Linked DNA regions of Schizosaccharomyces pombe. Changing the gene in region 1 together with any one later gene gives a genetic interaction. Each region holds a gene or a part of one and is shown in the gene's direction. Other genes may lie near its edges. The genes, in order: nrk1, akr1, SPOM_SPAC11E3.12 and sei1.

The links.
Region 2: mutations in nrk1 (region 1) and akr1 together harm fitness less than expected from each alone (positive genetic interaction), as found in Schizosaccharomyces pombe (one large-scale study listed by BioGRID).
Region 3: mutations in nrk1 (region 1) and SPOM_SPAC11E3.12 together harm fitness more than expected from each alone (negative genetic interaction), as found in Schizosaccharomyces pombe (one large-scale study listed by BioGRID).
Region 4: mutations in nrk1 (region 1) and sei1 together harm fitness more than expected from each alone (negative genetic interaction), as found in Schizosaccharomyces pombe (one large-scale study listed by BioGRID).

Annotation. Positions count from the first base shown.
Region 1 is NC_003423.3:1,441,288-1,447,682, forward strand, and holds nrk1 (nicotinamide riboside kinase), read left to right. Parts: upstream 1-3,277; coding exon 3,278-3,309; exon of another isoform or gene 3,310-3,363; coding exon 3,364-3,388; exon of another isoform or gene 3,389-3,490; coding exon 3,491-3,559; exon of another isoform or gene 3,560-3,611; intron 3,612-3,733; coding exon 3,734-4,100; intron 4,101-4,186; coding exon 4,187-4,386; 3' UTR 4,387-4,644; downstream 4,645-6,395. Other genes in the region: abo2 (ATPase histone chaperone), read right to left, coding at 1-1,285; Prp19 complex WD repeat protein Prp5, read left to right, coding at 4,825-6,246. UniProt on the Schizosaccharomyces pombe protein: Catalyzes the phosphorylation of nicotinamide riboside (NR) and nicotinic acid riboside (NaR) to form nicotinamide mononucleotide (NMN) and nicotinic acid mononucleotide (NaMN).
Region 2 is NC_003424.3:548,842-556,952, forward strand, and holds akr1 (palmitoyltransferase Akr1), read left to right. Parts: upstream 1-1,926; 5' UTR 1,927-2,169; coding exon 2,170-4,098; 3' UTR 4,099-4,754; downstream 4,755-8,111. Other genes in the region: gep3 (GTPase-like protein), read right to left, coding at 1-1,402; RNA-binding protein Nrd1, read left to right, coding at 7,790-8,111. UniProt on the Schizosaccharomyces pombe protein: Palmitoyltransferase specific for casein kinase 1.
Region 3 is NC_003424.3:5,304,194-5,312,043, forward strand, and holds SPOM_SPAC11E3.12 (uncharacterized protein), read left to right. Parts: upstream 1-1,530; 5' UTR 1,531-1,644; coding exon 1,645-1,850; intron 1,851-1,909; coding exon 1,910-2,072; intron 2,073-2,121; coding exon 2,122-2,241; 3' UTR 2,242-2,855; exon of another isoform or gene 2,856-2,871; coding exon of another isoform or gene 2,872-4,404; 3' UTR 4,405-4,493; downstream 4,494-7,850. Other genes in the region: syt22 (guanyl-nucleotide exchange factor), read right to left, coding at 1-1,204; 1,3-beta-glucanosyltransferase Gas5, read right to left, coding at 2,872-4,404.
Region 4 is NC_003424.3:3,460,808-3,469,711, reverse strand, and holds sei1 (seipin), read left to right. Parts: upstream 1-3,367; 5' UTR 3,368-3,398; coding exon 3,399-3,547; exon of another isoform or gene 3,548-3,667; intron 3,668-3,705; coding exon 3,706-4,170; intron 4,171-4,267; coding exon 4,268-4,403; 3' UTR 4,404-4,646; coding exon of another isoform or gene 4,647-5,967; 3' UTR 5,968-6,013; coding exon of another isoform or gene 6,014-6,453; 3' UTR 6,454-6,584; coding exon of another isoform or gene 6,585-6,647; 3' UTR 6,648-7,040; downstream 7,041-8,904. Other genes in the region: zinc finger protein Cps3 , read left to right, coding at 1-1,515; efm3 (methyltransferase), read right to left, coding at 1,877-2,104, 2,237-2,878; protein Kms1, read right to left, coding at 4,647-5,967, 6,014-6,453, 6,585-6,647.

The DNA of each region.
Region 1 (6,395 bases):
TAGCGGCCAACACCCTAGCCATTAGTGTTTTTCCAGTCCCTGGAGGACCATGAAACAAGACACCTCTAGGAGGTGTGATGTGCAGATGTAAGAATACTTCTGGATATAACAAAGGAAGCATCACCATTTCTTTCAGTTGAAGTATAATATCTTCCAGTCCTCCTATGGAATTGAAATCAAGATTTTCCCTATTGGCAAAAGGGTCAGTACTTCTAATCGTCTTTTCGTCTATGTGACCAAAGTGAAGTTGAGAGGAGGGAGCATTCTCAATATCTGAACTAGCGCCCAAATTATTGTAAGCATTAAGTCCTTCAACGTCGGAAGTTTGCTCTGAACTTGTACTGCTCAACTCACTCGTTTCATCACTATCGCAAGTACTTTGATAACCGATGGGAAGAGTAGCAAAATCTTTCATAGGCAATTTTGGCGGATTATAAGTAATCTTCGTTGTTGAAGGATTTGGGGAAGATGCAATTTCGTTGTAATAGTCAAATAAATGATAATTCGGTCGATTGTCACGACTACGAAGTTTGCGTCGGAAATCTGGTGAATTTCGCTCAGCGCGAAGAGGACTCATTGCCTTCTTGACCCTTAAATTTTTTTTAACTGGCAAAATTGGACCTCTCATTTTTCTTTTTCTACGTCCTCTTCTACTTGGAATGGGTGAGCGCACTTTTGTCAAATCATCAGGGCTATCCGCGAAGTCAGAATCACTGGCGTTCGAAGACTCAGGATCACTTTGTCCATCTACGTAGTCTTCATCTAAATAATCACCATTTGTTGATTCTGTTGGAGCTTTTGGATACGAAAAGGTTTTTGAAGAAGTAAGATATGATTTCGGACTTATCAAATCGTCTTCTTCATCCTTAAAGGTAGTGGATTCGTCCTCATTATTATCAGTGTCTAGCTCTTTATCATTTCCTTCCATTTGAAGGTTACTACTTCCATTTCTGATACCATCAATTTGATGTTCAGTACTCTTCTTTCCCAATGATGCATCATTGAATGCCGCAGAAGGCTTTGAAGGATTTTCTATAGAAACAGAAAAAGAAGGCGTTTCTGTGTTTAGATGTTTCTGTAACGAAGAGAATTTTCTATTTCTTTGAGTTTCACGCACTGAAACTAACTTTTGTTTATAGGAGGAAGGATCAAAATGTGAAACTTTTATATGATTTGAATGATCCTCTGATTTTTCGCTGTGTGCGTTGGAGTAATAATCATCATCTTCTTCATTATCTTCATTATCGTCAGAACTAAAACGAATGGATCTGGCCCTTCTGCGCATTGCACGCAAAATGCACTGCTGGCACCAACAAATTAAGACGTTGTCAACTTGGTTAAGACAATTTGTTATGTAGATTTTTTATTTACAATTGCACAATTAAAGGCTCCAAAAAATTTGGGATATCTTAGGTTTTCCACATGCTGGTTTACGAATGGAAGGTTTGTAAGGAAAAGTAAATAAATGAAGTTCGTAACAATGCGTTATAAGAAAAGGAAAGCACATAGTAGAGTAAGTGGATTTTTGGACTAAACAACAGAAGTAGTATCTTTACAAAAACAATATTGTTTAAAAATTGACTTTTCTGAGATTATTTGTCCACGATCAGTTTAGTACATTGGTAATATCCATACATTGATGCATTGTTTACAGACATGTGGATAGATTTGAAATTCTATGAGGATAAAAGTTCATTGCCAACTTCGAATCTTGAGCTTCACTTGACGTTCCTCACTGATATAGTATTTTTTTTTATTTAATTGATTGTCAGTGTTTCGTCGTTTCGCTGTTAATTGAAAGGATGAGAAGAATTTATGCAAAGAGTATTATTTTATAATCTCTTTGAAAACTTACTATTCATAATCCGTAGTTTTACGTCTCATATTAGATTGATATAATGAACAAAGGTAGAGATCGGTACGGCTTTTTTTATTTTTTTATTAAACCAAAAGGTCTTTTAATTTCCTAATTACATTGGCATTCAATACAGATCCATTGAAATTCGATCAATATTGATTTCATTTTTAAAATAGTGTCCTTAAATTTCCTTAATGTTTGAATTCAGTATTTATTATTATTACTAATTCTATTGTTTCATCCAATTTACATGCAATTTATAGCTTTATTATATTTTATTTATTTTTTTATTTTTTTTTTGGAAAAGCAATTGAAGCTAGTCAAATTGGAAAACTGAAGCCAAACACCTAGTGTTAAAAAATTTTATATTTACTAAGTGTAGTACTACAAAAATCGTTTAACAAGGCCTCAAGAAACTCAACCAATATACATATATTTTTTAAATTCATCGAAATATTCGCATTTCATGGAGTTGATAAAAACTTTGCTACCGTAGAACTAAGTAAGTGTAATGTAAACAATAAGCAAAAGACATTAAAACGACTTAAAAAATGAAAATAGCAAACTAATATTATTCAGACATAGTTTATCACAAATTTGAAAGGAAAAAGCAATAATTAATAAAATAATTTTCGCAAAACAATTAAAGAATTCCAATTTCCTACATACTTTGGCTAAATAAATAAAAAAAGTGAACCACTTTTTTTTATCTAATCAAAAAATATATATATTTTAAACAAAAATTGTATTTTTTACTCTTATTATCTACCCTATCTTTTCGTAAAGGATACATGACGGGAGCGGATTAGTATATTGCTATCATCCAAAGCCTTGTATTATTGACTGATTATACTACTAACCATATCTTCATACTACCAACTCCAGCCTTCCTCCTATTTCACTCTTGTTTTAAACGATCAATAACTCAAAACACCATTAATCTTTACCGGGCATATTTGCCATATAAAAATTCTTATACGTATTCGAAAGCGTTAATATTTGGTGAATTTAAATTATCTTTCAAATCCTCCATTTATACCGTAAAGAATTTGTATACTCCTTTCTTTTTCCATTTTCTTATACTTGCGAAATCGTTATAAGTGATCTTTTACTTGTTCTTGTATATCTAAAAGTTTTGTTGGTTGTTATAAAATTTTGTGGATTCGGCTTCTTTACCACATATCTTTTTAAAATTCTCGTTTATTTCCATAACAAATAATCATCGAGCTTGATTTAAGATACTAGGCGCTTTGTTTAAATCCAAATTCTTTTTAAAATTCGGTTAACCTGTCTTACAGCTTTTGGCTGGTAATTAATTAATTGTGTTGTGCAAATATAACAGACCGAATTCCAGTATCCAGCTTCTGTCCAGGCTTCTTGTCTCAATTTTTACCTTCATTTTTCCATATTATCATTAGAATGACTCGGAAAACTATCATTGTTGGGGTTAGGTAAGTTCTACAGGCAATTGTTTTAATGAATTTTTATTAACAAGAAAAAATTAGTGGTGCCTCTTGTAGTGGAAAATCGGTATGATAATTTTGATTAATAAGAAAGAATAAAATAAAATCAAAAACTCCAAAATAAAAAAAAAATGAAGTACTAACCAATTTCTCTTTCTTGTTTTGACAGACTCTATGCCAGCTTTTACATGCCATTTTTGAAGGATCTTCTCTCGTTCATGAAGATGATTTTTACAAGGTTCGTTTAGATTATTTCGTCTATTTGCCTAGTCGTGCGAATTTTGCAAGTGTCATAGAATAAATCGTACCCTCGTTTTAAAAACCGATGGTTGAATCTTATCGATGAAGCAAACACTGTGTTTTTATGTAGTGCCAAAGCACCTATTGATATACTAACTCGTTTGTTTTGTAGACTGATGCTGAGATACCAGTCAAAAACGGCATTGCCGATTGGGATTGCCAAGAGTCGTTGAATTTAGACGCTTTCCTTGAAAATTTGCATTATATCCGTGATCATGGCGTGTTACCTACTCACCTTCGAAATAGGGAAAATAAAAATGTTGCTCCTGAAGCCCTAATAGAATACGCTGATATAATTAAAGAATTCAAGGCACCGGCCATTCCAACTTTGGAACAGCATCTCGTTTTCGTAGACGGATTTATGATGTACGTTAATGAAGACCTTATAAACGCATTTGATATTCGACTGATGCTGGTGACCGATTTTGATACGCTTAAGCGTCGTAGAGAAGCCCGTACTGGTTATATAACGTTGGAAGGTAAGAATTCAACTATCCAGATAAAACATAACACCTGTGTTTAATCGTTGTACCTTTCAGTTAAGGCTAACTCCAAATTGTTCCAGGATTTTGGCAAGACCCCCCACATTATTTCGAAAATTATGTTTGGCCTGGCTATGTACATGGTCATTCCCATTTGTTTGTCAATGGCGATGTGACAGGGAAATTGCTTGATAAGCGTATACAGTTAAGCCCTTCTAGTAAAATGTCTGTGAGAGATAACGTCCAATGGGCCATTAATTCAATTTTGAATGCTTTACAATGATCCGTTTTGATCTATCTTTTCTTCGACTTGTATTTTCTGAGTACTACCTGACTTATACACAAATCCTCTCTACCGCTTCTTTTTTTTCTTTTTAGACAAGACTACCTGTGCATGATTTACTTTTTAAATTCAGGGTTAATTAATTACTTTCCATCATTTCCTCCTCTCCATATATTTATTGCTACTATCGCTTTTAGAACATCATGTTATTAATAATCCGTAACTAGACCGTTTAATAAATGTATATATATTACAAACTTTTATTACTTGATAACCATCCCTTTTTTTATTTTGACAATTCATTTGTAAGCTACTTTATTCTCAAATATTAGTACTTAATATTTCTCGTTCGCTAATGTTCGTGGATTATGATGCTTCAAATAAGTCAGTCCAACTGCCATCTACCTACAAATCCTCTACCAAAAATTTAACAGATTTATGACAGAAGCAAAAAACATATCGGATGATACAGATGTACTTTCTTTGACTACAAATAGTCTTAGAACATCAAAAACTCTTTTTGGAGCCGAGTTTGGGTCAGTTACCAGTTTTGACGATACTGTAGCTCAAAATCTCAAAAGAACATACAAAGAACATTTAGAATATGGTTCTGTTCTTGGAGGAACTGTTGGAAAACGGAAGAACCGACATTACGAAGAAGACACTATTGGTAGTAATGCTTTGACGGTTAGAGCAGACAGTGAAAACCCTTCCTCCCAAGTGATCACCAAGTTTTCAGATCCTAATAAGAAAATAGCAGGGCAGGTTTCCATGCAATCTTTAGAAAAAATTAAAGGAGTTCCTGAAGCAGCACATAGAATTGCCGGAGAATCCCAGGCTTCTCTCGTAAAGCGCACTCTTGCCGAACAGATTCGCCCTGAATGGCATGCTCCATGGACTCTTATGCGTGTTATTAGTGGTCATTTGGGTTGGGTTCGATGCGTAGATGTTGAACCCGGTAATCAATGGTTTTGCACGGGTGCTGGGGACCGCACCATCAAAATATGGGACTTAGCGTCTGGAGTACTTAAGCTAACATTGACTGGGCATATCGCCACTGTGCGAGGATTAGCAGTATCTCCCCGTCATCCATATTTATTTTCCTGTGGTGAAGACAAAATGGTAAAATGCTGGGACCTCGAAACTAATAAAGTGATCCGCCATTATCACGGGCATCTTTCCGGAGTCTATGCCTTAAAACTCCATCCAACACTTGACGTCCTTGTTACCGCTGGTCGTGATGCAGTCGCTCGTGTTTGGGATATGCGCACTCGCCAAAATGTCCATGTTTTATCGGGCCACAAATCCACTGTTGCTTCTTTAGCCGTTCAAGAATTCGATCCTCAAGTAGTCACGGGTTCCATGGATTCTACTATCAGATTATGGGATTTAGCAGCTGGGAAAACCTTGACGACCTTGACACATCACAAAAAAACTGTTCGTGCCCTGTCTTTGCATCCAGATGAATTTACTTTTGCCAGTGGCTCGTCCGACAATATCAAACATTGGAAATTCCCTGAAGGCGCATTTATGGGTAATTTTGAAGGACATAATGCAATCGTTAATACTCTTTCAATAAACTCAGATAATGTTATGTTTTCTGGTGCTGATAATGGAAGCATGTGCTTTTGGGATTGGAAGTCTGGTCACAAATATCAAGAGCTTCAATCTGTTGTTCAACCTGGTTCATTGGATAGCGAAGCTGGAATCTTTGCTAGTTCTTTTGATAAAACCGGTTTGCGTCTAATTACTTGTGAGGCTGATAAAAGCGTAAAGATATACAAACAAGTGGACAATGCCACACCTGAAACACATCCCAATTTGCCATGGACACCATCAAATCTTCGTCGGCGATATTAATAGGGCATCGACTTCCAAGATTAAGATTGAGAGGATAGTTATGATATGTATGTTATTGCTAGATATGAGATTCCAATTTTTGAATCTACTATTTAATGTCATCTTTTGGTAGGCGGTAAACAATGATAAAATATTGGCTTGTTTCTAAA
Region 2 (8,111 bases), on another chromosome or scaffold:
GTAGGTTCATAGGACGTGAAGCAGAAAACGAAAGAAAGCCAAAATTGTGAATGACCAGTTCACCACTAGATGTAGGATCGAACACGTTTTCCGATAATTGTGTCGGTTTAATACTTACGGTAAAAGAAGAATGCATCGGCGACGGAGAGTGAGTTACTAAAGGAACATTATCATTTTTCGTAGAATTTTCAAGTGATTGTAATTTTGTTATAGAGGTAATATGAGCGGGAAGTTTTGTAAATAACTTAATCAAAAGAGGTTTCATATTATTGGTATTGCCTTTTGTTTTCTTATTTTTTAAAGTCGAGAACAAAAAGTGTATCGTGGTGCTCGAAGGATCTTCCTTTTTAAACATAATTGGCTTTCCAACTTCATGATTTCCATCTTCATTTATTTCAAAAGGCGTAACACGAACTAGTCCACCTAAAATAATAGACTGACCGAAACGAACACGATACTGAACAGGCTTACTTGTGAGTTGCTTATTTCTAGACCTTGTTTTAGGTACGAGACTTGTCAATAGCTTAGTATCAACCCAGGGTAATAAAGATTTCAAGTTACCACGGTATCCAGGAGTATCAAAAATTAAGCCTTCAGATAATTGCTTAAAACAGGAACCGAAATATTGTGTAGGATACCCTTTTATTGCTTGAGTGGTTCCTGGTAAAAAACTGTCAAGCAAAAGCTCATTAAAAACACCATTTCCCCGTTTAGCCAAAGTTTTTAGCAATGTAGATTTTCCAGAATTTGCTTCGCCTACGACATATACATGACCTCGCGAACATAGCAAGGGATTTATCCTTCCCAAGAGCTTATCAACTAGGTTGAAAGAATGCGATGTGTAAAGCATAGCATACTTTGAAGAAATTCCTAACCCAGGAAACAACCAGTATGGCTTTTTTGGAGGTAATACATCCGCATGCGTAAATAAATGGAAAACTGGGAAATGAGTGTATTGAGTAGCTGAAACAAAATCTTGAAATATAACTTCAGTAACATCTATAACCTGTATTATCAAACAAGTACTTTTATCATTATTCACCGTACTAATGATATCTGGTAGAGTAGTCTGGGGTTCTTGTAACAACTCCTTTGGACGTATGCGAGAATGAAATTTTAAATCATGACATCTTTGGCACCATAATAAATCAGTTCTTCCAATCTCCTTTTCATGAAAAGGAAAACTCGTTGTATTTGGGAAATGCTTTTTTATTTGTGGGTTGAGATTTTTAAAAGCATTATTAAAGATTGCTTGCTCATCGAGATTTTTCTTTAATAAATTAGAAACTGAACCTTTGCTAAAAATGCCACTTAATTTTAGTGGCTTTATATATCCGGTAGCAGACTCGTTCGCGGACTGTAATGTTTGTCCACATCCCCGGCAAAACTTGGTAAAACTCATGGTAGAAATTTAGTTTTATTAAACCCGTTTGGTTTTGTTGTAATAAATCGGCAACAAAAATTTAGAATATCGCTGAAGTAAAGATGTTTAAGGTCTGATAGGATAGAGAAAAAGCTTCAAAAGCTGTTATTATTTACAGAATAAGGTGAATTCGATAAGCTCTAATATTAAGTTAATTGCTTTTGTTAATCATTTCCAAACTCAACATCTATATATTGAAAAGAAAAAGTTCCTTTGTTGGATTTGATATAAGGGAATTTCTCATCTGCTGTGTAACAAACAATGTATTATTTTTAAATGTAATTATCCTGTGCTGGAAGTGGATTGGATTTGAAGCATTTTAAGCCAGCGAAATAGAAAATTTCCGGGGATCAACGTACTAAACACTGGTTTAAGGAAATTTCTTTTTATTTGTATAAAAATAGTAAACGCTCCAAGTATAATTCAGTTTTTGAACACCATTACTGATGGAGTGATAGTATGACAGCAGAATAAAGGTTGCTCGATTCACCACCAATGAATCTGGCGAAAGGCTTGCACCGTACTATAGACACCATTGAACCAGTGTGTCTTTCTACGAGCAAAATTATTATATTTATAATTACTTCTTTTCGTTTTTATTCATGATTGTATGTAATTTTGTACGATTAGGAGTTTGACCACCAGATCTATTCCTATTGTTCTTTCATATTTGCCTGAAATTTGCAACCTCCCGATTTACATTTTGTAACAATTAGTGACCAACAAAATCATTGAACTGCACCTTTATGGGTTCATTATTTTTAGCCGCTAGTCAGGGAGAACTTGACACAGTTAAAAATTTGATATCTTCTGAAAAGATAGATGTTAATGCTACAGATGAAGGTGGAGCAACTGCATTACACTGGGCAGCTCTGAACCAGCAAATTCCAATATGTAAATTTTTGTTAGAACATGGCGCCGATGTGAATGCAATAGGCGGAGATTTACAGGCCGCTCCAATACATTGGGCTGCTAAACGTGGCTCTGTGAAGACTGTTCACTACTTAGTTCAGCATGGTGCGGACCCATTACTCAAAGATAAACAAGGTTTCAATTGTTTGCATTTGGCAGTCCACGCTGCAAGTCCTTTACTAGTAGTATATTTGTTGCATCTCGATATTTCTGTCGATTTACGTGATGATCAGCAGCACACACCTCTGATGTGGGCTTCATACCATGGGAATGAGCCTATAACAAACTGTCTTTTGCGATGGGGTGCAGATGTATTGGCTACAGATGAAGATAAAATGACCCCTTTACATTGGTCCATTGTAGGTGGAAATCTAAAATGCATGAAACTGATTTTAAAAGAGGGAGGCATTCCCTGTACTGCAGTTACCGCTAATTTAAGTGGACAGCTGAAAACCCCTTGGGCTCTAGCGTCAGAACTTCGCGTCTCTCACTTATTTAAACAGGCATTAATTTCAAATGGATTAAAAGTTAAAGAAACCTCTGAAGAACCTGAAAAATGGGTCGTTGTTCCTAGTAAATTTCAATTTTCGCAAAAAACATTTATTATTTTTTGCTTTTTATCGTCCTTTATAATTACTGGCGTCTTTTTTTTTATTATGTCAATTTGCCCAATGGTCATCTCCTTGATAATCGCTCCTTTGTGGATTTACTTTACGTTCAAATATATTACAACATGCATTCATGCGAATATTGACATAGTACATTTCTATCTTGAAACTCCATTCTTGGCTGGCATATTTTCCTCAATTTTCTTCTGGGTATGGTGTCATTCTTTGTTATATATAGTACCTAAGACGTTACCCATAAAACCTCTCTCTTCTCTTTTATTTGTTTTGATTTCATTTACTTGTATTGGATTATATGTTCGTACAGCTTTTCAAAATCCTGGATATGTAGACAAAATTGGTGCCGTCGTTCAACGTCGTGAAGAAATTAGCAAATTATTGGACAAGGATCTTTTTAATCAATCTCATTATTGTTTAAAATGCTTTCAAGTTAAGCCTCCTCGTTCTTATCATTGTGGAGCTTGTAAAAGGTGTATTAATCGTTATGATCACCATTGTCCTTGGACTGGAAATTGCGTAGGGGCACGGAACCATAGAACATTCCTTCTTTTTGTCTTCACATTGTCTACTTTAATTCCTATTTATTTTTACGTTGCATTTTATTATTTACAGAATATCCCCATTCAAAAAAAATACGAGTCGTATAGGTGCCTTTTTATTTCTGGTACCATATGCCAGTGGTCTTTAAAAGACATGTTTGTGTTAGTTGCTTCTCTAACTTTGTTTGTGAATTGGTGTTGGGTAGTTGTTTTAGCTTTTACCCAGATTTGTCAAGTTGCTCACAACGTGACCACAGCCGAATTCCGACTATTTAAACGATATGGAACTCTCGTTCCTCCTACAAAGCAAAATTCATCTCCAAAAAATGGTCACGGAATTCATGGAAGCTTTCTACGTACAGTATGTGGTATCCTGGGATTGGATCAGTGTATATTGTTAATTAGAGAATCAAATTGCTTTGTGAGATGTTTCCCATCGAGAGCTGAGTTAGGTTCCCAAAATTCTACCTCTTTGTCTCGTAATCTTTCCACAGTCAATCCATATGATGAGGGTAGCATAATTAAGAACTGTAAGACATTTTGGAAGCAAAACTTTCTTAACGATGGTCGGCAAGATGAGGCAACAAGACATGTTTAAATTGTTGTCGATTAAAAATTTAATTATAAACATTAAGAATGGAACGTTAGAATGCCTGATAACGTTAAAAAGTTATCACTTCATCATTTAATTTTAATCCCTCCACGGATCATCGTTGCGGGAGTGTTGAGTTAAGTTAGACTAGAATATTCGCGATTCACTCTGAATCTCATTAAATGCTAGCTATGTCACGTATCGTGAAATCCTTGATTTGTAGAACGGCTCGTTTCTTATTCCAAGGTCGTTGGACCCTGTTGCAACGTGAGGGAGGATGAGATTGAAACAAGTAAAGGTTTACTTGAACTTCAAGTTTTCTTGTGTGCGTGTGAACTGATGAAACCTGGCGTCTTGCTATTAATTTTTGCAATGAAAAGATTTTTGTTTCATTTTTGCTATGTAGAGATTGGCTATATATGGCTAGATCATAATTTTTGCAGAAAATTGGGCTTTAGGATTGTTTAATCCAACAAAAAATATCAATCTTTTATAGCGGCTCAAGTGTTCTTGTTATCTTTATGAGATACGCTTTTGTTATTTAGAAACGTGTATAGGTCTCTAGTTTTTCTTTTCTTTTCTAGTGTAAGAAATGGGTAATGGAGGATTCACGAATACATTACAATAAGACTATATTAGTAAAATAGAATACAGTTAAGTGGAAAAGATTACAGAAGAAACCAAGTCATTAGTAGTTCGTTGAAGATATCGCAATGTAGTTTGAAACCTAATATCTGCTTCTTTACGTGTTCTAATTACTTTAATATTAATTAATAAAACAAATTGTATTGCTTTTTTTTATGAATAAGGACAATTAGTGCTAAACATTAAGTATACAACCAAAATTTTTACGTAAACTGACAAAATTTACAAACAATTTAAGTAGAGTGTTATGAACGAGCATATGCCTTTTTTCTACTTTATGGCATTTGTTTCTCTGCTAACCCGAGTTTCTAAAAAAAAAAACGAAAGCCGATGATCACGGTGAATCAAATGACTAAACGCCTTGGCCGGTAAATATGTAAATCTCCGTAGCAACCTTTACGCCTTGACAATCGTTAGTTTGCAGAGTTGAAGAAAAGTCGATATGTTTAGGTCAATAGCTACCGAGTCTACTTTTCTACGCTACAGCGGCATTGAAGTTAGCAGAAGACTCAATTTTGCAGGAGACTATTTAGCTATCTGATCAGTCAGTGTAATAATTAGAGAGCGCTTTCGCTCACCCTTCTTGGCGGCCACCATAAAGCGACTCACAGCGAAATTGTGTATAGAGATTAAGCAACAGCGGAATATTTTGATAAATACAAATTAGATAGTCAATGAATTACTAAGCTGAATAGAATGAAAAAGAAAGAAAAATCCAAAGTGAAAATTGACAGTTACTGAGCTTGTCTACGCCCCCTAAATTTCACGCGGAAAATATTCCTCTACCGTGCAAGGCGGAGACTTTTGAACAATGTGTTAGCTTAGGATTTAAGTCACATCTTAGCAAAGCGTTCAGGGAAGAAGACATACGGTCAAAGTTATCATTTTTGTGTGATTTTCATTATTTATTGTTGCACGAGATAATTTAAATTTTCATGCAGAAGATTTATTTTTTTTTTTGGAATTTATTCTGCTCGGCCAACATTCTTGATTATTCTTGTTTACATTTTTTTATGAGCGGCTTATCGTTAGATATCACTTGTCACTTGGCACTACATGCTTTTTTCTATGAATTATTCCTTTGATATCGACTAATCATCTGAAATAGCGAGGCGAGATTTCGACAGAAGCTTTACCCCCATAAAAATTTTCGTTGTGTTTATACAAAGTGGAAGATGATTACATGTCTGCATTTGTATCAAGTTAGTCTAACTATTTGCTTGAGTCCCACGCTGCTTAGCACACAATCACATACGTACGTGGGCGAAATTGTGTGAAACTCTCGGGGAGCCACTTCGGCTGCTTATTTATTTACTTTTATTTACAACGCGGCGTTGATGGAAAAATTCTAAAACAGTGTGTGAAAACTTGGTTTGCGCGTGCTTGTTAGTGGGCCATTCTAATATATGTCTATACTGGCATATATTTACTTTATTTTACCACTATTACTATTTAACTCATTGCCGCAATCCATACAAGTGCATTCTTTTTTGTTTGTTTTCGTTGCCATGCTCGTTGTCAAGTGTTTACATTCGATTGTGCACTCGCGCTCTGTCGTTGAAGGAACATCCAGAATTAATGTTACCTTGGGCGGCATATTCACATGTTGGTGTACGCTGGATAATCGTTAATGGCATGTAGCTTGTTTCTCTCTATAAGCACGCAGTAATATTAGTGCAGTAACGAAAAGCCGTTAACGTGCTCACTACCAAATACTCAACCACACGAATAGCCGCTGGCTATATCTAATATTCTTTCTCTTTTCATTTCTTTTTTCTCAAAAACATATTTCTTTCTCTACCATTTGCATTTATATGAGTGTATTACTTTGAAGCTTTGATTTTTTTTGTTTCGCGGTATACTTATTGATTATTCGCTAATACTGGTACTTGTTTCTCTTATTTTTTTTCTGTTTCTCCTTTATTTGCTTTTTAAGCAACCTTTTAAATCTACCTGTGAAATAAATATCATCGCCTTTTTTCATTTTCTTTTTTCATTTCCACATTCTTTTCTCTTCTTACTCCTCTGTGATACTATATTTTGGGTCGTTAGAACGCATTGACTTCAATCTACTTTCTCTTCCCTGCATTTTTACCAAGCCTTCCGAATATATTTATTCCAGTTTTTCTATATTCTTTTTTTTTATTTTTTTTACTTCCATTGTACTCCTCATAATCATTATTATCTTGGAAATTTAACTTTCCCTTTTCATTTTTTTCTTCTCTAAAACTCCTTCTTTCACTGTCGACCATACTGTTGACTTTTCTCCTCTTCTTTTATAAGATAAAATACACTTCTACGCGTCTTTAGAATTCTTTGATTGATTATTCTTTCGTACTACTTTGAATTGTATACTTTGCTTTTTTGGTCATACTCTTGTTCATTTCACTTTGTTTTATTCTCCATCAATTTCTTGGAGTAAGTCTAATACTCTTGTTCGGTATCTTTACTTAGTAAGCTTAATTTTTTAAAAAATTAAAAAAAAAAAAATTTTTACCATTGTTAGGCTCATATTCCTTTCCACATCATTCAAGATTTTGTTGAGGTTGTTGTGATCTGCTTGTTTCATTCGCATTTTTTCCTTCCATTTATTCGCTTTGCCTACGTGCCTCTCAGTCTAAGTTTCCTTATTCAGTTTGGGAATTACGAGTTTTCTTATTTTTAGAATTAAAAAATACGTTGGACGTTGACAGTTTTCTTTTGGCTAAGATTTTCCGTTGCTATTAATTATTGTCTTTCTCGTCTAATTGAGTTTTTTAAACAGACTTGTTGTTAGCTTTAAGCGATATTGTTTAACTATTCATTTATTACCCGCTTGGATTTTTATCGTTAAACGCATCATAAGTTGCCTCCTAAGTTCGTGAGCTTTATTGGTCCGATTTTGGTTTTCGATATATTTCAAAGTGATATAAATTGTAAGATATACCCCTTTATTATTTGTTACCAAACGTCACTCTCGTTGATTTCTTTATTTTACATTTCTTCCTTTGTCAATCAAGCAGCTGTGCTCTTAGTATAATTCTTTCTTTAACAGTTATTGATTTCGGTCATTATGTCTTCTAGCAGTCCCTCTAGTCAGTCCCGTCTTTCTGTCCCTGGAAGAACTCCACATTTACCACCACTTACTATCCCTCATACTGTAAGTGCTGAAGGTCTCGCTACACCAAACACACCGCATGCTCTACTCCCTACCGGGCTTCTTATGGGGAGTCCTTTTGTTCAAAGCCCAACGAGCTATACTTCCATGCATGGCTTGCCCTTTAGCACTACCCAAATGGCAGCGGCTCCCGCTCATCCCACGACTGGCTATAATGTTTCACGTGTTACCAGTCCTAATGTTGCTAACTTTGCCCCGGGTTACTTTCCACTTCCGA
Region 3 (7,850 bases), on another chromosome or scaffold:
GGGTTTCACCATGCACGTATAAATTTCCACAAATCATTCTCAATGATTGAAGAATGTCTGTATTTTCAAAATCGTAAAGTGAAATGTAGTGTTTCAAAACAGCTTTGTTGTATGGTTTATCTGTGACAAGCCACGATAACGCTTTATCATTTGAGACGATATGTTGTGAACCTTCCCAAATATCGATGGCAGCCATTTTGGCTGAACTATCGTCAACTTTGAAAGAATCTGATGATACCCTAGATTGATCAATTCCTCCGTTGGAAAGAGCTAAGGTTTTTCTCGTAGTTTCTGATGTACTTTTAGGAATAGAAAGACTAGATTGACGATTAATACTTCTCCTATCTCTCAAATAATTAGACGAATCTCTCAAAGGAGTTCTGGAATTTCCATAAGGACTAACTTTCGGGTCCACCATTAAATTACGAGATTCCCCACTGACAGTACGATACGCAGTGCTGAGATTTTTAGCGGATTTGTTTTGTGAATCTCTAGATTTTACTGGTGAAAGTTCAATTTGACTATTCAAACCTTCATAAGTAGATACTTCCTCCTTACAAGTATAAAAATCATCTTGGTCAGCAGAAATTGATTTTGTGGTTACTAAAGGTGGTGCAGGAGTAGTCTTAGACATAGCATTATTAGAAGTCGAGATACTTAAACTGGAAAGTATAGTTTCAGCACTAAAAGAAGGTCCTAAGGGGATATCATCAAAAAATGAAAGTGAAGTTGAGGGTCTAACAGGTAATTGCGATGGAGTAGGAGTAGAAGAAGTGATACTAGACATAGATGTCATACCAAAATCTCGTCTCATATCTTTATTTAAGCGAGTCCTGCTAGAATTGCTGGTCCCAGTTAATTGAGAAGTAGAAGAAGAGAATCCCATTACAGATTGAGAGCGAGGATGACTAGGCAAATCATTGGTTGACATAGAAGCCTTCGATTTATCTTTACCAAACAATTTTACACGCATTGAAGGCCTTCTCCCAATTGTCTGAGTATCATTTTCTTTGATAGAAGTCAGAGGGTGACGACTCGATGATTCGTTTTTGAACCAAGTGGAAGGAAAAAGACGCTGTAAAAATGGTTTTGAAGAACGAGTTGAAGTTTTTGACCTTTGTGAAAGAGAAGAAGGGCTCCTTTTGTCATTCGACGGAGTGGAATTCCCATTTTTAAGGTACGCATTGGAAGCGTTTCTGCTCATGGCATTAGCCTAAAAGTATAGCATGCACCGAGCAACTGCAGAGAGATTTTACTAATGGGGCTGAAAAAAAAATAAAGAATGAATAAGCAGTTAAAAGATAGTGAATATTAAAAGAACGTGCAGATTAGACTTGATTCAAGTCAGGGAATATCTTCGATAAACCTGCAATTTACAAAAGCAAAAAAGATAATATATGCCTAATTATTCAAAAAAGTCTTCTCTGTTTGAGAGAAACGAACTTAAATCCTGGAGTAGTCAACCCCAGGTGTTAACGGGATAAGCAAAAGCAACGCTGCTCCTCATCCCCAAAATACCGTTTCAAATTTAGCCATTCCTAAATACTAAAAAATAATTAATTAAACACTAACATTTTTTTTTCTTTCTCATTTTAATGATATTTCTACACTACGATTATCGATGATTGTTTGGTTCTAACAACGATGAAACCAATACGTTTTTTTAAACCAGAGAATCTTCAGCTTGCAAAGGCTATACTTGCTAGATATCCTCTACGCTTCCAAAGTGCTGCTTTGGTACCATTATTAGATCTTGCGCAACGACAGCATGGGACTTGGATTCCTCCGACAGCAATGTATGAAATTGCTTCTCTAGCAGGCGTATCAATTGATTATGTGCATTCGTTAATGTATGTTAAGTAAATAACACATAATGATTGTGCTTTACTTTGTTTCTAACCAAATGTAGTTTGGCATACCCTAATGATTTTTTCTGGAGGCCTAAAAAACCGCGTGTTCGTATTTGCAATTCTTGGATGTGCCAACAAGCTGCTGAGGAGCAAGGCAATTCCAATTGGGATAGCCAATGTCGGTCTGTAGCGACCAAATATGGCTTTGATGTCGAGAATACGGTAAATATTCTATAGCAATTAACGATGTACTAATTTCTATTGCTTTTAGGGGTGTTTGGGAAACTGTTTTCAAGGACCAGCTATGTGGATTAATGACAAGATTTATGGAGTGAATACTAAGGAAAAGTTAGTAGACATAATGGAAGCATTGACCCAAAAGAAAAATTAGGATGAAGACATAAAATGAAAATGACCAAGTCTGTACCTATTATTATGATGTAAAAGGATTTGGTTTACGAAGTTTTGGCGTTAGATTGTTCAAACAAATTAGGTAGCTTATGAAAGAAAAGTATATCAACGAGAAAACATGGGGACATTTTACAAACGAAAATCACTTCACAAAATCTGTTTTGTTTCGAATATATCAATAATGAACTTGAGAAGTATTTTTCATCCATCATTGTTACACACGTTGTTAATTATGATTACGCGAAACACTTTAATCAACACAGCTACAGAAATCAGCATTAATCTTTTTTAAGATCAAGAGCACAAGCCCCTCTACCAAAGTTGGCTATTAATTAATAACTACACGACGATGTTAGTCGATAATGCAAATGTAATATATGAGCAATCTAAATGATGATGCTAATGGATACGTATGAAAAAAGATCAAAATTTAAAAAAGGCACAAAATGGAATGCGAATGAGCCAAATGAAAATAAGCTAAAGATGAGAGAATAAAGCTAATGATGAAAGATGAGCGATTGAAAAAAAATGAAATGTAAAAAAAAATTTCGAATCAGCAAACTTGAAAAAATTTACGAAAAATGAAAGCGAGTGGTATGAAAAATAATCATTAAGCAAAAACAAGTCCGCTAATTGCCAGTATACCAGCAAAGACGTAAAAGCGAGAAAGGTTAAAAGTAGAAGCGGAAGAAGTAGCCGAGGAGCTTCCAGAACTAGATCCACTGCTATGAGCAGAGCTACCACTAGCAGATGTATAACTTGTACTCATACTTGAAGAGCCAGAAGATATGGAAGATCCGGAGGATACGGAAGAGGATGAGGCTGTGGTTGACGCTGAAGAGGATCCGGAGCTGGAACCTGAGGTAGAGGACTGGCTAATAGTGGCTTGAACAATGTTTGTGTTGATGGTAGTGGAGACACTGTGAGGACCAGGAGATACTAAAGCAGTAGCATTGGCACTAAACTCTTGGTTGCTGGGGGCATTGAAGCCAAGGGGTTGTCCAGCACCCGACTCAATGAAACCTTTGGCTTCAGAAGGCATGGTAGGAAGAGGGAAACTAGTAAAATAAGAATCGTCAGCAGGACAAGTGAGGGTAGCGGGACTTGAAGAATAATCACCGTCTCCAGTATAGTTAGCAGCGGAAGCGTACTTTTCCTTTAAGGTTTCATAGTTCTTGCTAATTGTAACATTATCGCCATCAATAACAACTAATCCATAGTTATTGCCCTCTTCAGAATACTGATAGACGAGTCCGCCAGAGAATACAGAAGACATTTCGCTAGAGAAAATAGCATCGACCTCGTCGAAAGGACGATCAGGAGTACCATCGGATTCCTTAGTAACATCGTTACAACCATATTCAGACAAAAACAATGGAATAGAGTAGTTTGCAAATTCCTCCATACGCTGATCGTAGCCGGAGATGGTAAAGCTAGAATCGGCACCACACCATTCATACATGTTCATACCATAAAAGTCAGCACGTACAGAAGAGTTACCACAAGCAAAGAAATCGGCGCATTGTACACGGATCTCAGCTACGTCCGCAGCGGAATAGCCGACAGGAATATCGCGGTCTGAATTCTTTGAGATGTATTCTTTAGCATCGCGAAGAGCTGCCTTGACCCAAGTGGTAGTAGCGGAATTTTCGGCAGTGTTTGCAACTTCATTGCCAGCAAAGAAGCCCAAAACATTTGTGTAGTTCTTGAAAGCATCGATGGTAGCAAAGATACCTTGTAAGAAAACAGCATTATAACTTGATGCTGCATCCAAACGAGAAATAGAGTTAGAAGAAGTAGCCAAATCAAGGATAACATATATACCTGCATCTTGAAGAGCACTCATGCACTCGTCGTGATTAGCAGAATTATCGACCTGGTATACACGAATGGTGTTAATGTTCAAACCTTGGAGATAAGGAAGATCACGTTTGCAAATACTAGTATCAGCAAGAGGATCCACTAGAGTGGATGAGCCGCCTGGTTGGTAATCAACACCACGGACGTAAAAACGCTCATTAGTATCACTATTGAAAAAGGCGTTTCCCTTGATTTTGATAGCGGAAGAGGCAGAGTCAGCCAAGGCTAGACGAGAACCTCCCAAAAGTAAAAGAGAAGTGGTTAAAAAATGGAGGAAGTTCATAGCAGATATAGGTTCAGTTCGAGGAAAAAAAACGAACGAGGGTTATTTTGAATAAAAAGATAGCAAAAAAAAGAGAAATGAATGGATCGATACTTTCAGTTAAAAGTAAAGAGAGAAAAGCAAGTTACTCGTTAAAAATGATAGTAGAAATGAAAAAGAGAAAAATGGGAATATGAAATGAAAATGAAAGGAATGCCAATATTTACGAAAAAATGTTGAAAATGATGAAAAATGAAAAAAATAAAAAAAATGAAGAGAGAAATGGAAAATGAAAAAAATGGAATAAAATTAAATGGAAAGATGAAAGTATCTACCAAATAAGAAAAGAAATAATTCTTATGAAAAAAGAACGCGTTCTTCACGATTAAGAAAAAGAATGGCTTCTTATGATGTAGCGAACGTGCACAAGATCCTTTATAAAGAATGCAGATGAATTGGATATTGCTCTGATTTGTAATGAATAAGCTATCCCACTATATATGGTAGCGGTGTGACCGGTTTTTTACGAGACAAGCAACAGCAACTGTGACTTGAAGAAACATGTAGTAACAAGCGATGGAGAAAGTGGAGACGAGAGGTAACTCATTTGATAGGATATAATTGGTAGTTACAGTGGATCGTAAACAAACAATACGTGTCATGTAAACAAACATGGAAGTGTGACTATTTATACAAACATGTAGGGAAATGCAAAGAAGACGGAAATATACGAAAGCATATAGAGTAAAGAAGAAAAGAAGAAGCGGCTACATTGAAAAAAGACGTCGAAAATGAATGGTTCAACGAACCGTTCCAATTCTGGTTCATTCAACGCATTTTCGAGAAAGAAGCGGTAGAACATTGCAATTGCATCTATGATTATTCTAGGGTAATTAAAGGAAAAGACAAAATAGAAGGGAAGTTAAAGGAAGAAATCAAAACCATCTTTTAAAGCTTTTTTTTTGGCAAACTTCGACAAAGCACTCATTTGATGGTCGACCAATGACAAATTAATAAACAAAGAACGGTGTCACTCATAGTTCACATGTGCCAAGAAACAAGCAAGGATAATAGAATGTTTTAATCGAGCTGCAAATGCAAAGAAAAAAAAAATGTTTTGGCGATGTATGTTATGAGTTGCAGTCAGAATGTTGCTCAAAAACAACTTCAATGAACTATGTTGGTACTTCCACCCTCTATAGATTATATAGGAAGAACTTAGAATGCGGTAGCATAAGACTTGGTTTACATCTTGACAACAAACGCTCACTTTGCTAGAGCTTTTGGATTTCTTTCGCTTCTTTTGATTTGTGCGTTTCTATATTTTTCGGCGGTATTGCATAAATAATGAGGTGTTGCATAAATAATGGCTATGCTCATTTCTGTCTCCGTTTGTTTAGGACTAATCGTCTAAATACCAGTAACTAGTTGCATAATGCCTGTAGCCAATCCTTTTTAAGAAACCAGATGTTTTTATGATCAATTCCTCTTTTTTTTGTCTTATTACTCTTCCTTTATCATACCACTCCGTTGAATGTTTTCCTACTGCTTCCTTTCTTTCTTTTAATTATCTACTGACTGGCTTTTTACGCCCCATTCTCTTCTCTACTAAGAGTTTCTGTGCGCTTTACTATCTGCCGTCTCTGAGGTTTGTGAAAGCGGTCGGCAAGAAAATTAATTTTTAAAGCGCAAAACGTAGGAATCGCAGTGACGCAAAGTTTCACCCTGATGAAGAAATTAAATGTGTTGTAACAAAGATCCGAAAAAGCAAAAGAAAAAGAAAATTTCCCTCCGAAATAGCTTTTCTTTGTCGAAATTCTCAAACAAAGAAATTAAACTTACAAAACTAAGGAACCAATTTCCATCTACTTCTACTGCGTCTTTATCCAAATTCCTTTGTACATATTTCCTCTTTTCGCCTCTTCGACTTTTATTATAATTTTTACAAATACATTGAATTTTGCCCAAAATGATTATCTTCTTATTTTAACTTTTTTTCTACTTCATACAAGGTCAAGCGATATTTTGCTGCAATTCCACCATATCCTCCTTTTGCTCTACGCTACCGGTTTTCACATCCTTACATCCTTTACCTTGGGCGGCTAAATCTTATAAATGTATATTATTACGTGTAGCAAAGGAATGCTTAGTAAAAATGCAGACGTAAACAATTGCTAGGTAATAGTGTTATTGGGTAGCAAATACAAGAGGAAGAAGATGGAAGATAATTAAATAAGAAGAAAAGAAAGATGAAAAGGGGGCGGCATTTGGAAAGAGTAATTTGTAGGAATTAACAATGCAACCGACTCCGAATACACACTATCTATCAATCACCCATGTGACTCAAAATCATTCATATTCGCTTGCATTGACTTGAACATATCAAATGAGTTCTTGCATCCGTTCTCAAGCTGACTACAAATCTATGTTAACTTCAAGGTTAATAAAAACTGTGTTTGGGAATAAAAAACAATTGTCTCCAATTAACATATTTAGCTGTGTGTTTTGGGTTCTCCAAATGCTTTCTTTACCTAACTCCATTCTATACATTTCAAGGTACGCTAGATTTCGTTACGCTTTGCTATAATGGTTAGCCAGCGAGAGTGTAATCGGATAAGGGAATTTTCCAACCATACTCATTACCGAAGCTAACTATGACATAAGACTTTGTTTTGGCTATGTATATGTAAACAGCCAAAGGAGAAACTATATAGAAGCCCAACTACATTCTTGAATTGAGTGAAAAATTTCCATCTTAAAAATACTACACAAAAACTGTACTATATACAATTTCTTTTTAAAAAGCAACAAAAAGTAAAAGAAATTTTTTTTTTCTTTCCCAGTTTGTTTGGTACGTTATAGCTCGTTTGCACATATATATACCAAAGGGCCGAGCTTATTCCGCATTTAATCCGTCAACCTTTTCCATCAACTGGAACTCGAGTATTTAATCTTTCCACAAAGAGGTTTTGGTTGAATTGGAGGTATTGTTTGAATCATAATTTCATTTTTTCCTGCTATTTATTTTTTTGTTTTTATTACATTTTTGTTTGGATTCAAATCAATTCGTAATCTCTTGAATTGCCTACCAGGTACGTTGATCGGTGGTTTGCTCGGAGACTGTAGAGACTTGAGTGGTAATCTTCCTTAAATTTCAAATCGTCGACAAGTCAATTTGTAGTTTAACTTTATTGTTATTATTTTTGATATTACTTTGTGACGAGTTCTCTCATTGTTGATGTTTTTGTTTTCTTTTGAATATCATCGCAATTCTCCCTTTTCTATTACCTTACATTATTTTTTCTGAAAAAACCTCTTTTCTTCATTTGTCTCGTTTTATTTTTCATAGCGGTTGTTTCTGTTTAATCTTTCATCATTTGTTTATTTATTATAACTATCTTGCTTTTAGCAACAATTCTTTTCAAAAATTTTTTTATTACTTCTTCAAATCATCCGTTGTTTTGATT
Region 4 (8,904 bases), on another chromosome or scaffold:
TTTGGTTCTAAATGCGCGTTGGAACATGTTTTACCTGATGGAAGAAAAGTAAAGACAAGAGCCTTTGCCCCATCTACTACAGCTATGGGCTCAAGCTCTCAAAACATATCTGCTGCTCCTATGGCTAACATCATTTCCAACAATGACAAAATATTGCCAATGACTACTATGGCATCAGCCACAGCTTCAGAAGAAAAAAATCGAATAAAAGATGAAGCTTTAGTAATTAAAAAGGAAGAATCCAACGTAGCTATTCCATCGGAGGTGACTGTTGCTGCCAATGCGTTCTCCGCTTCTACAGAAGACGTATATTCTATTGTGGGGGATAGTCTCTCAAAGAAAGCATCTGTTAAGGATTTCAGTGATGTGACTGGCATAGAAACCATTCCTGCCTATGTTGAGGCAACTAATGGAAGTTCCACGGTACGTTCACCACATGCAAAGCGTAGCCTCAGCTCCATATCTGTTAAAAGCTCTACTTCTCCATTTTCTGGAAGCAAATTTCTATCTAGTTCTTCCTATCCGCATACGCCAGAGGCACATCTTAACTCCAATCACATCTCACCCGCCTCATTTGGCAGCGGAATCAGAACGAGAAACATATTCAATCCAGAATCTATGTCTCTTGGTTTGAAACCCCCAATACTAAATCGCTCTTACAGTGCATCTATGGCTCCGGGATTTTCTATGAATACCTTTACCGCAACCGGTAATCTTGGACGTCCTACCAAAAGCCCTTCGGTACCAACAAGCGTCGGAAGTAATAAGAGTAGGAAGTTTCCAGGAATAAATGGTAGTACGCTTACTGCTACTCCTAGTTCGCTTGAGAACCTTTATCCACTATCAAGTCGTCGGAGCGTTCCCAATCTTATATCTTCCCTCGGTACTAGTCCCTCGACGTTTTCATCACAGTTCCTTAAAAGTACTGACCGAACTCATTCTTTCACCTCGAAACTTCAAAGTTTTAATCCTGTGGGGACATCTTTACTGGCTTCTTCCTTGGGAACTTCACAAGAGGACTCTGTAAATTATGACATTCCTGACGAGTTCGCTAATGAGGAAGATTTCATTCCCAACAGTTTGCAAGAACTCTTGACTCCAGAGGAGTTGGAACGAAAAATGAGCCATGGTGATGAAGCAGTAAGTTCTTCCTCAGCTTCAAGATTTATGTCAAAGGTTTCTTCAAACCTGAATAGTGGGAATCCTACACCCTACAATTCTTATAATGGAACACCCACCTCCAGTAGGTTTGTTGCATTTTTTGATCGTCATCGACAAGAATCTGAGAAAGCTACTCCTCCTTCACTTAACAAGGTTTCCCAGGAACCGCTTACAGCAACTACACCTAAAAATTTAGGAAATTTGACTGCAATATCTGAAACTTTAGAAAACGGACAAACCCTGAAGTCTAACATGGCCTCTTCTATTGAAAAATCAAAAACTTCAACAGAAGTAGTGGCTTCTTACGATACAACTTTGGATGAAGAGACTCAATTCCAAATGGATGAAGCTTAGCATATGCCCTATATCGTTAGTGGCTATTTCGATTTAATAATGTGGCTAAACAAAAAAAATTTAGCTTCACAAAAAGGTGATTATTTTCGTGTTTCACCACTTATTTATTATATTTGTGCTTTTAATGGAGATACCAAAGGTTGCGAGCTTTATCTATGATTGTCACTGCTAGTTAGTATTGGTAATAAAAGTAGTGATAGCTGTTATTTACATTGAAACTGCAAGTATAGTTAACTTGGTGACAATACTAACGACCCATAAAATACTGATGAGATTTTAAGAACTCCATTTTATTAAACCAGTAGAGTTTAAAATAGTAGAAAATTTGTCAGCATTGAAACCGTCTAGACATTCATTTTGTTTATTTAGAGACTTCATAAAAGACGATGGGTGGACTATCATAGTAAAGTATTTTGGGAGAATCCCACACCTCCAGCTGTCGAGCATAGAGGTTTTGGATGAGCTTCAAAAAGTTAAAAAATGTCTCTTGTCGTCGAAGACTAGCGCTAAGGATAATTTTACAATTTGGATTTATTGTTATAATTTGTGTTAGGGTAGTAGCCAAGCACCTTAAATCACAATCGTAAGTCTATAACATACTGCATAATAATTAGTACGCATCAAAGAATGCACTAATTATTAAACAATAAGTTTCCGTTAGCAGTTTAACCTTAACACGACTTTTCAATTTCCTATTTATAGTTCAAGATTCTTGACTTACCACGTCGGATGCAAAAACAATATCTGAGAATTCTGGTGGATCTACTCCCCATAGTAACTTTTTAACATTTATATCACAATTGTTTAGTCGAGCGTTCTCTCGCACACCATCACACACTTTTGTATCACCGTCTGTAGCCAAGACGATGGACCCCATTTTTGCACATAGTATACTAACAAGACCTGTACCAGCTCCTAGCTCTAGTACCCTCATTCCTGATTGAACGGGATGTTGATATATGTATTCGGCGAGAGCCATTCCTGCTTCCCATGTACGAGCTCCAGTGGTTCCTTCGCGCAAAAGAACATGCCGGGATTCCCGTATTAAAATATCATACTCTCCTAAAGAATATTGTACAGGAGGTATATACGTGCTGGAGAGAGATTCGATATAAGTGTACAGCAGTGCCTCGTTTCGTTCATTATGGCCGCTGTCAATAGAGTCTAAAAATCGAAAATATGATTTTAAAAAAGCCCTGGTGTATGCCGAGGGTGTCACTATTTCCGAAAGAAACACTTGTGCATAGTCATTAAAGAGAATAGGCCAGTCAGTTGGCTTGCTTACCCATTGAAAGCGATATAAGTCAACTTGCTGAAGATATTGCTGTTTCACTTTTGTTAAGAACTCGGGGGCACCATGCATACTCCCTGTGATGCCTATGATAATTAATTGCCAGCAAGAATATCGGTTACAAAAATAACTCACTAAATGACAGTTAGCAATGCATTGTTATACTTTTCTCCACAGTATTTTCAATATATTTCTCAAGCATATACAAAATGGATTTAGGGAAATGATAGAATGTACGAATGAAGCAAGAACCCTGCTTGAAAATTTATTTTTTGTTCACCCATTACTATATCTCGATGAAAATAGTGTAAAACTCACAATTTCTTCGAATACAATATTACACTTTGACAGCAGCTTTAACGCGTGGGTTAGTCTGTAATTGGCAGTGGAATAGTTAACTGTTTTGTAACTTCATAACATACCCACCAAGTAATCCACCACCATGTCGTTGAGCTTTCACTGGTAACATTTTTGGTGGTGAGTTTACCCGACCAGCCGCGGATAAAGCCGCGGTGGTAAATCATTACACCAAAACTTGGGTTAGAGATCAAGGATTCATTCAAGTAGTGTTATCCATACGAAAGCCCTAAGCATGGGTTATTTAGTTAAATTATTCAAGTTAGTAGTATGGATGTTGGTAATAGGACTATTTTCCATACCAAGTTTAGTAAGCTATGTCATATTCTACGATACCGTGATTCCTCATTCTGTAATTCAATATCCAGTTTATTTCAATTATACGTATGTTTGAAAATTTATATACGGAAAAGGTTTGAAGAGCGCATGTAGAAATGAATCGTAGCGGTGGAACTTTTAAGCTGCGTTCTGATTTCTCTATGTCTCTTTCTGTTTCGTGCATTTGTTAAGCAATTAGAATCCATGCTGACATACTTTAATAGAACGGGTCTCAACTTTCCAACTGCAGAGGTCAGATTGGACCATTTCTCAATTGATCCTAGGTTACCTGGCACATCTTTGCTTCAAATCAAAATGCCGCATTCTCCTCGAAATAGTGCTATGGGCAATTTTATGGTTTCTGTCGATTTTCAAGATAGAAATCAAAGATCTCTGAAGCAGGTTAAACGAACAGTCTTGCTTCCTCATAGGTCTCCTATTCACGAATACCTTAAGCTAATTGTATGTTCACCTCTTTACTTCATGGGGATTTTGGAAGAAACAGATATTGTCAATGTCCGTTTGTTCGAATCTGAAACATTTGCTAAAAGTTTTAATTCAATTACAACACTTTCCGTTAGATTTTCTGTCAAAAATACTCCAGCTCAAGCTATTGTCAAAATTTATTCTAAAGATATTGAATTTTACGAAGCGACTCTAGCTTTTGCATCAAAATTGCACGGCATGCGGTAAGTTTTACTTTTTGATTTACCTTCTTCATTTTTTTTACTTTACTCAATTTCTTTACCTGTTATACTTTTTCACAAACTAACTTGTCCTTACTAGCTGGTTCATGTATACGCATAAGGTTTCCGCATTTCTCGTTTTCACATCTTTATTTTGGTTTACGGGGATAACCTCAACGATAATTACCTATCTTATTGTCTCTTCCACATCTGAAACAAAAGCAACAAGACGTTGAATCTTCTCACATCTTCACTTGCATCTAAAATCATAATCGTCACAACCATAAAAATACATTATTATTAAATTAGAAAGTTCCATTATTGCTTTATCCGTTAGACCCATTATTCAGCTGCACCTTTATGTACAAAAAGTTGAAAAAGGGTAAAGCAATTTAAATCAGCACTGATTTTTTTTTTAGAAAAAAAAAATCTTTCGCTAGCATCTTCATTTTCGTCATTATTTATTAGTCGCCTAATTATCAAGAAGGCTGTACCAGTTCATACCGTCCATAAAGGAGTATAATTATATGTTCGCAAAATGTAAATACAACACGCAAAAAAGCTTGCAATAGCTCGGCGCACAATATGTAATCAAGTCCGTAAAAACAGGCAAAAAGAAAAAGGACGTAAAAAAGTCGCAAAATGTTGGATTTCATAACCGATAAAAGAAGCAAAGGTTGTCCTTTCGTTGCTAGAAAATGGGGGTTGTCTGCATTAACAGTATCTTGAGACGCCATAAAATCTTTAGAGGAGTTATTCATTGTTGTATTAGTTGCCATGAGTCCTGTTTCATCGTCACTAAAGCTCGAAAGAACTGTGCATTCGTGGCTTGATTCTTCATATGTTGGCATAGAGGAATCGTACCGACGACAAAAGTCGTTTAGGGTTGGAGACATTTTGGAAAGGCTTTGAATAATCCATTTTTGGATACCAATTTCCTCTGAAAGCATCAAAAATCCAGCAACCAATTCTTTGTTTCGCGAACTTTCAGCAGTAAGAGAGCTTTGCAATGATTGACTTATGTGTTTGCATTCTTCTATCGTTTTCTTTTGTTGTTTACATTTAAATTCCAATTCTCTTAATTCTTCACTTTCCCGCATTCCAACCGCAGGAATAGAAATGCAAACTGATGGTTGAGTGAAAGAAAGGCCAACCTCTTTGGAGTAAACCATTTCGTCAAGGTTAGAGGGTGATAAAAATTCATCTCCTTTTGGGTTATTAGACAAAGCAATTAAATGTTTTTCTCTAGTAAGATCATCTATGTGGTTGTTTAGCTGATTATTAGAATTTTTTAATTCATGGTTCTCTAAAGCAAGCCGACGAATAGTATTCTCATTTTCACTTGACCGAGATGCAGCCAAGCTTAATTCCTCAATTTTCTTAGTCTGATCTGTAAACTTACGCAAGAGAGTGGCATACCGAACTTGCAAGGCTGAAAGCTCTTTTTTTGTGGAGTAGAGGCCAGAGTTTGTCTGTATGAGTTCTGACTGAATTTTCTGAAAGTTTTTGTGAATGTTTAGATTTTGAGCCTTAAGAGTCTTAATTTGGTTATTTTGCGAATTATTGGCTACCTTAGATTCATTATATTTGGAATCTGCCATATTTAGTTGGTGGGTAAGTTCATTCACTTTTCCTTCTAAAATATCTACAGTACGAGATTTCTTTCTAGCTTGATCTCGAGCTTTATCTAACATATCCTGGAGTTCTGTGATTTGCTTGATTAGATCATGGTGCCCGTTGGAAAAATCAGGTTTATCCTTCCTAACAAGTGGCATCTCAGTATTTCTGGACGACGTATTTCTTCTTGTTAGAATTTTAATGACTTTTCTAAAAAAAAAATTCTTACCTATTTAGTGGTGTAGATTGGGCAAATGGAGTTCGAAGAATATTGACAAAATCACTGTCGGTAAATTGAGACATCGGCGGCAAGGACAGTCTCTTAGACATCATTTGAGAAGGGTTTAAGGATTCAGGAGAGGCATTAGAAGATGATTTTGAATGTGCAGAATTGACAGAGTGTTCATTTGCATCCTCTTTGATAGAATTTTTGGAATTCTGTTGCTCCATCGAAGGCTTTTCAGCTTGATTCGCAAAAGAGTCATCTTCGTTTTCAGTAAGTTTTTTATATACGTCTCGAAAATTATCCTTTGTAATAGAGAGATCTGCATTTTGCCGTACGAATTCGAGTGTACATTGTTTTTGGAATTCGCTCAAAAGAGGTGGTGCAGAAGCGGGATGTAAGAGTTGTAGGTCATTGATGATTGGCAAAAAGTTGGAAAGATGAACCTAAGAAAATTTTTTGTTAATAGTTTATCCTATTGGTAATTGGGTAAAGCGAGAAAAACCAGAGTCTTGAGAGTTTGTCTCTGACTCAATAAACAAGATCTACCTGCATAAGCAATCAATTTTTTTCATACTTTTCCTTCATGTTTAAAGTCATATGAATCGAAAATCAAGTCAAAATCGCGTTCATTTAGCATTTTGGAAAGGGAACTGGCAATTATAATTATACAGGAAACGAACCACAATTCTAGTGGGAATGGGATTCAGTTTTGAATTTTTTTGTTAGAATTTATCATAAAGCTGCGTGCATTTCATAACAGTTCACGAATTCACCGCATTTCTTAAGTGTTGTGAGTTGGGTTTCGTGCAAGGTCTATCCAAGGGTTTGGCAGTAGGGCTGTTGAGCAAGTGGTTTGAGAGACCAAAAAGAAGTACACAGAAAAAGACGGATTAAAATAAAACTTGAAAATAGATAAAAAGATGTTAGAAGAAATCATGTTTATGCTTGATTTAAGAGCAGCTAGAAAAGTAAGGCCACAACTTGGTCGTACTGTGCATACTTAAGTGATAATTCAAATGAAATCGCAAATTAAAAAAAAAAAAAAAAAAAATTATTTTTAGTGAAGTAGAAACTATTCGTATTTGTTTTATAGATCGATCGATTCCTCTGAGAACTTCAAGCGAATTTGCAGTAATTTAGAACGCCAGCATTTATAATTGCGGGTCAAACAACGATCGCCCAAGAATCTTTCATAGACTCCAAATAAGATTGGTTGATTACTTAACTTATATTTTGATCCTTGAATCGTTTTAGTCAATCAACGTCGTATATATTGTACTTTTTAAAAAATACAAGGTTTTGATCGTAAAAAAAGAAATGCATAGAAAAGGTCAGATTTTTTCATCCAAGAATGTGCAATAAATACAGAAATTACTTCTTTTTCTTTCAATTTAGCCAACTCTTTCGAAAACGTCTTCTATTTACATTTTCTATATAGCTACTACTCAGTCAAAACAGTTGGTTAGCATGTTACTTTATGAGAAGCGAGCGATGTGACGTCAAAGGTTTTTTGGCGAAATTAACACTGTCCATATGTATATGTGTTTGAGCGTGTAAAACCTGGTTTCTGCCATTTACATATTTTGAAACCTCTGTACGCTAGTTTAGTTATTTCTCGTATCATTTTATTTTTAACTGGTGCAAGAGACAAGAAAATTCATTTACTTTCGTGAAGATTTGAAAAATTCGTTTGTCAGCTTAGAATTCTTTGCTAGCAGCATTATTTGTACATTTTCAATTGGACCTCTCTTAGCTTTCAAATTTTATTAAATCTTCTTTGTTTTCTTTCTCTTTTGTACGAAGTGATCATCGAAAAGATAGAGAACATCGGGGTTTCCATTTATGGGCGATAATGTATTTTTAGAGCCTGATCCATGGGCATCTAGCAGTAATTGGGGTTCACCAGTGAAGCCTTTAAATTATAAAACAGCAATTGGTTAGTAAAAGTTTTGTTCTTCTGTTTTTTCCTTCTCAATTAATAGTTAATTTTACGGATCGATGCATTCTATCATTGATTTGTTTCTTTAGCTTGATTTTTTTTTTTTTCATCTTTCTTGCTTTTTTACTTACTTACTGTAATGATGCTAACCTTTTTCTTTTTCTTTTTTTTGTCTATAGGTAATTCATCCATTCCTTTGCAATATCGAAATTATTGGGACGTGTTTCAAGCAAACAATGTTCTCTTATTTCCAGAAGAAGAAAGTTATTCTGATATATTTCATGTTCCTCAAGATGTAATGAAAGAGTTCTTTACCTTGATTGAATCATCAAGCAATCAACCCTTACGGCAAATTCAGTTTTTCGTTTTGCTTGCCTTGGTTGCCTGTTATCAATTAGGTGTTCCTAGCACATTGGAACAGATTTTCAAGCAAAGAAATGGTAAGGCTTTTTTTTATCTTTGCTTTTTTTTGTCTTTTTGCTTACTTCCTCCTCCTTAGTCCTGCCCATTTTGCAGCGTTTTAATCCGGAACTTTTCAATCGTAGTTCTGATAATGAAACCCCTCTTTTTCCTAATAATTCTCCTCCTGCTTCAACAACCGCCTTGAATCTTTCATCCAACATTGTCCCTTCCATTAATGAATCAAAAATTTTAGAACAAGAGGATGACGACGTCTCCAATAAATCCCTCCCTCACGCTCAGCAAAGCATCATCCGTTCGTTTCCTGATATTCAAAAGCAGCCGAAAGGATTCTTTTCCTATCCTTCTTCAACTGTCAGCAGCATTGCACCTTCGACTTTAGAAGCAGGTAACTTACATTCGCAACAACCTCCAAAATTTTCCGTTGATTCTTCTGTCGATGATAATGCTATTACCCCTAGAAAGCCCTTTTCGAAGATTCCTAATCGCCTTTCCCCTTCCACTCAGCCGTTACTGTCAAACAGTAGACATAGTT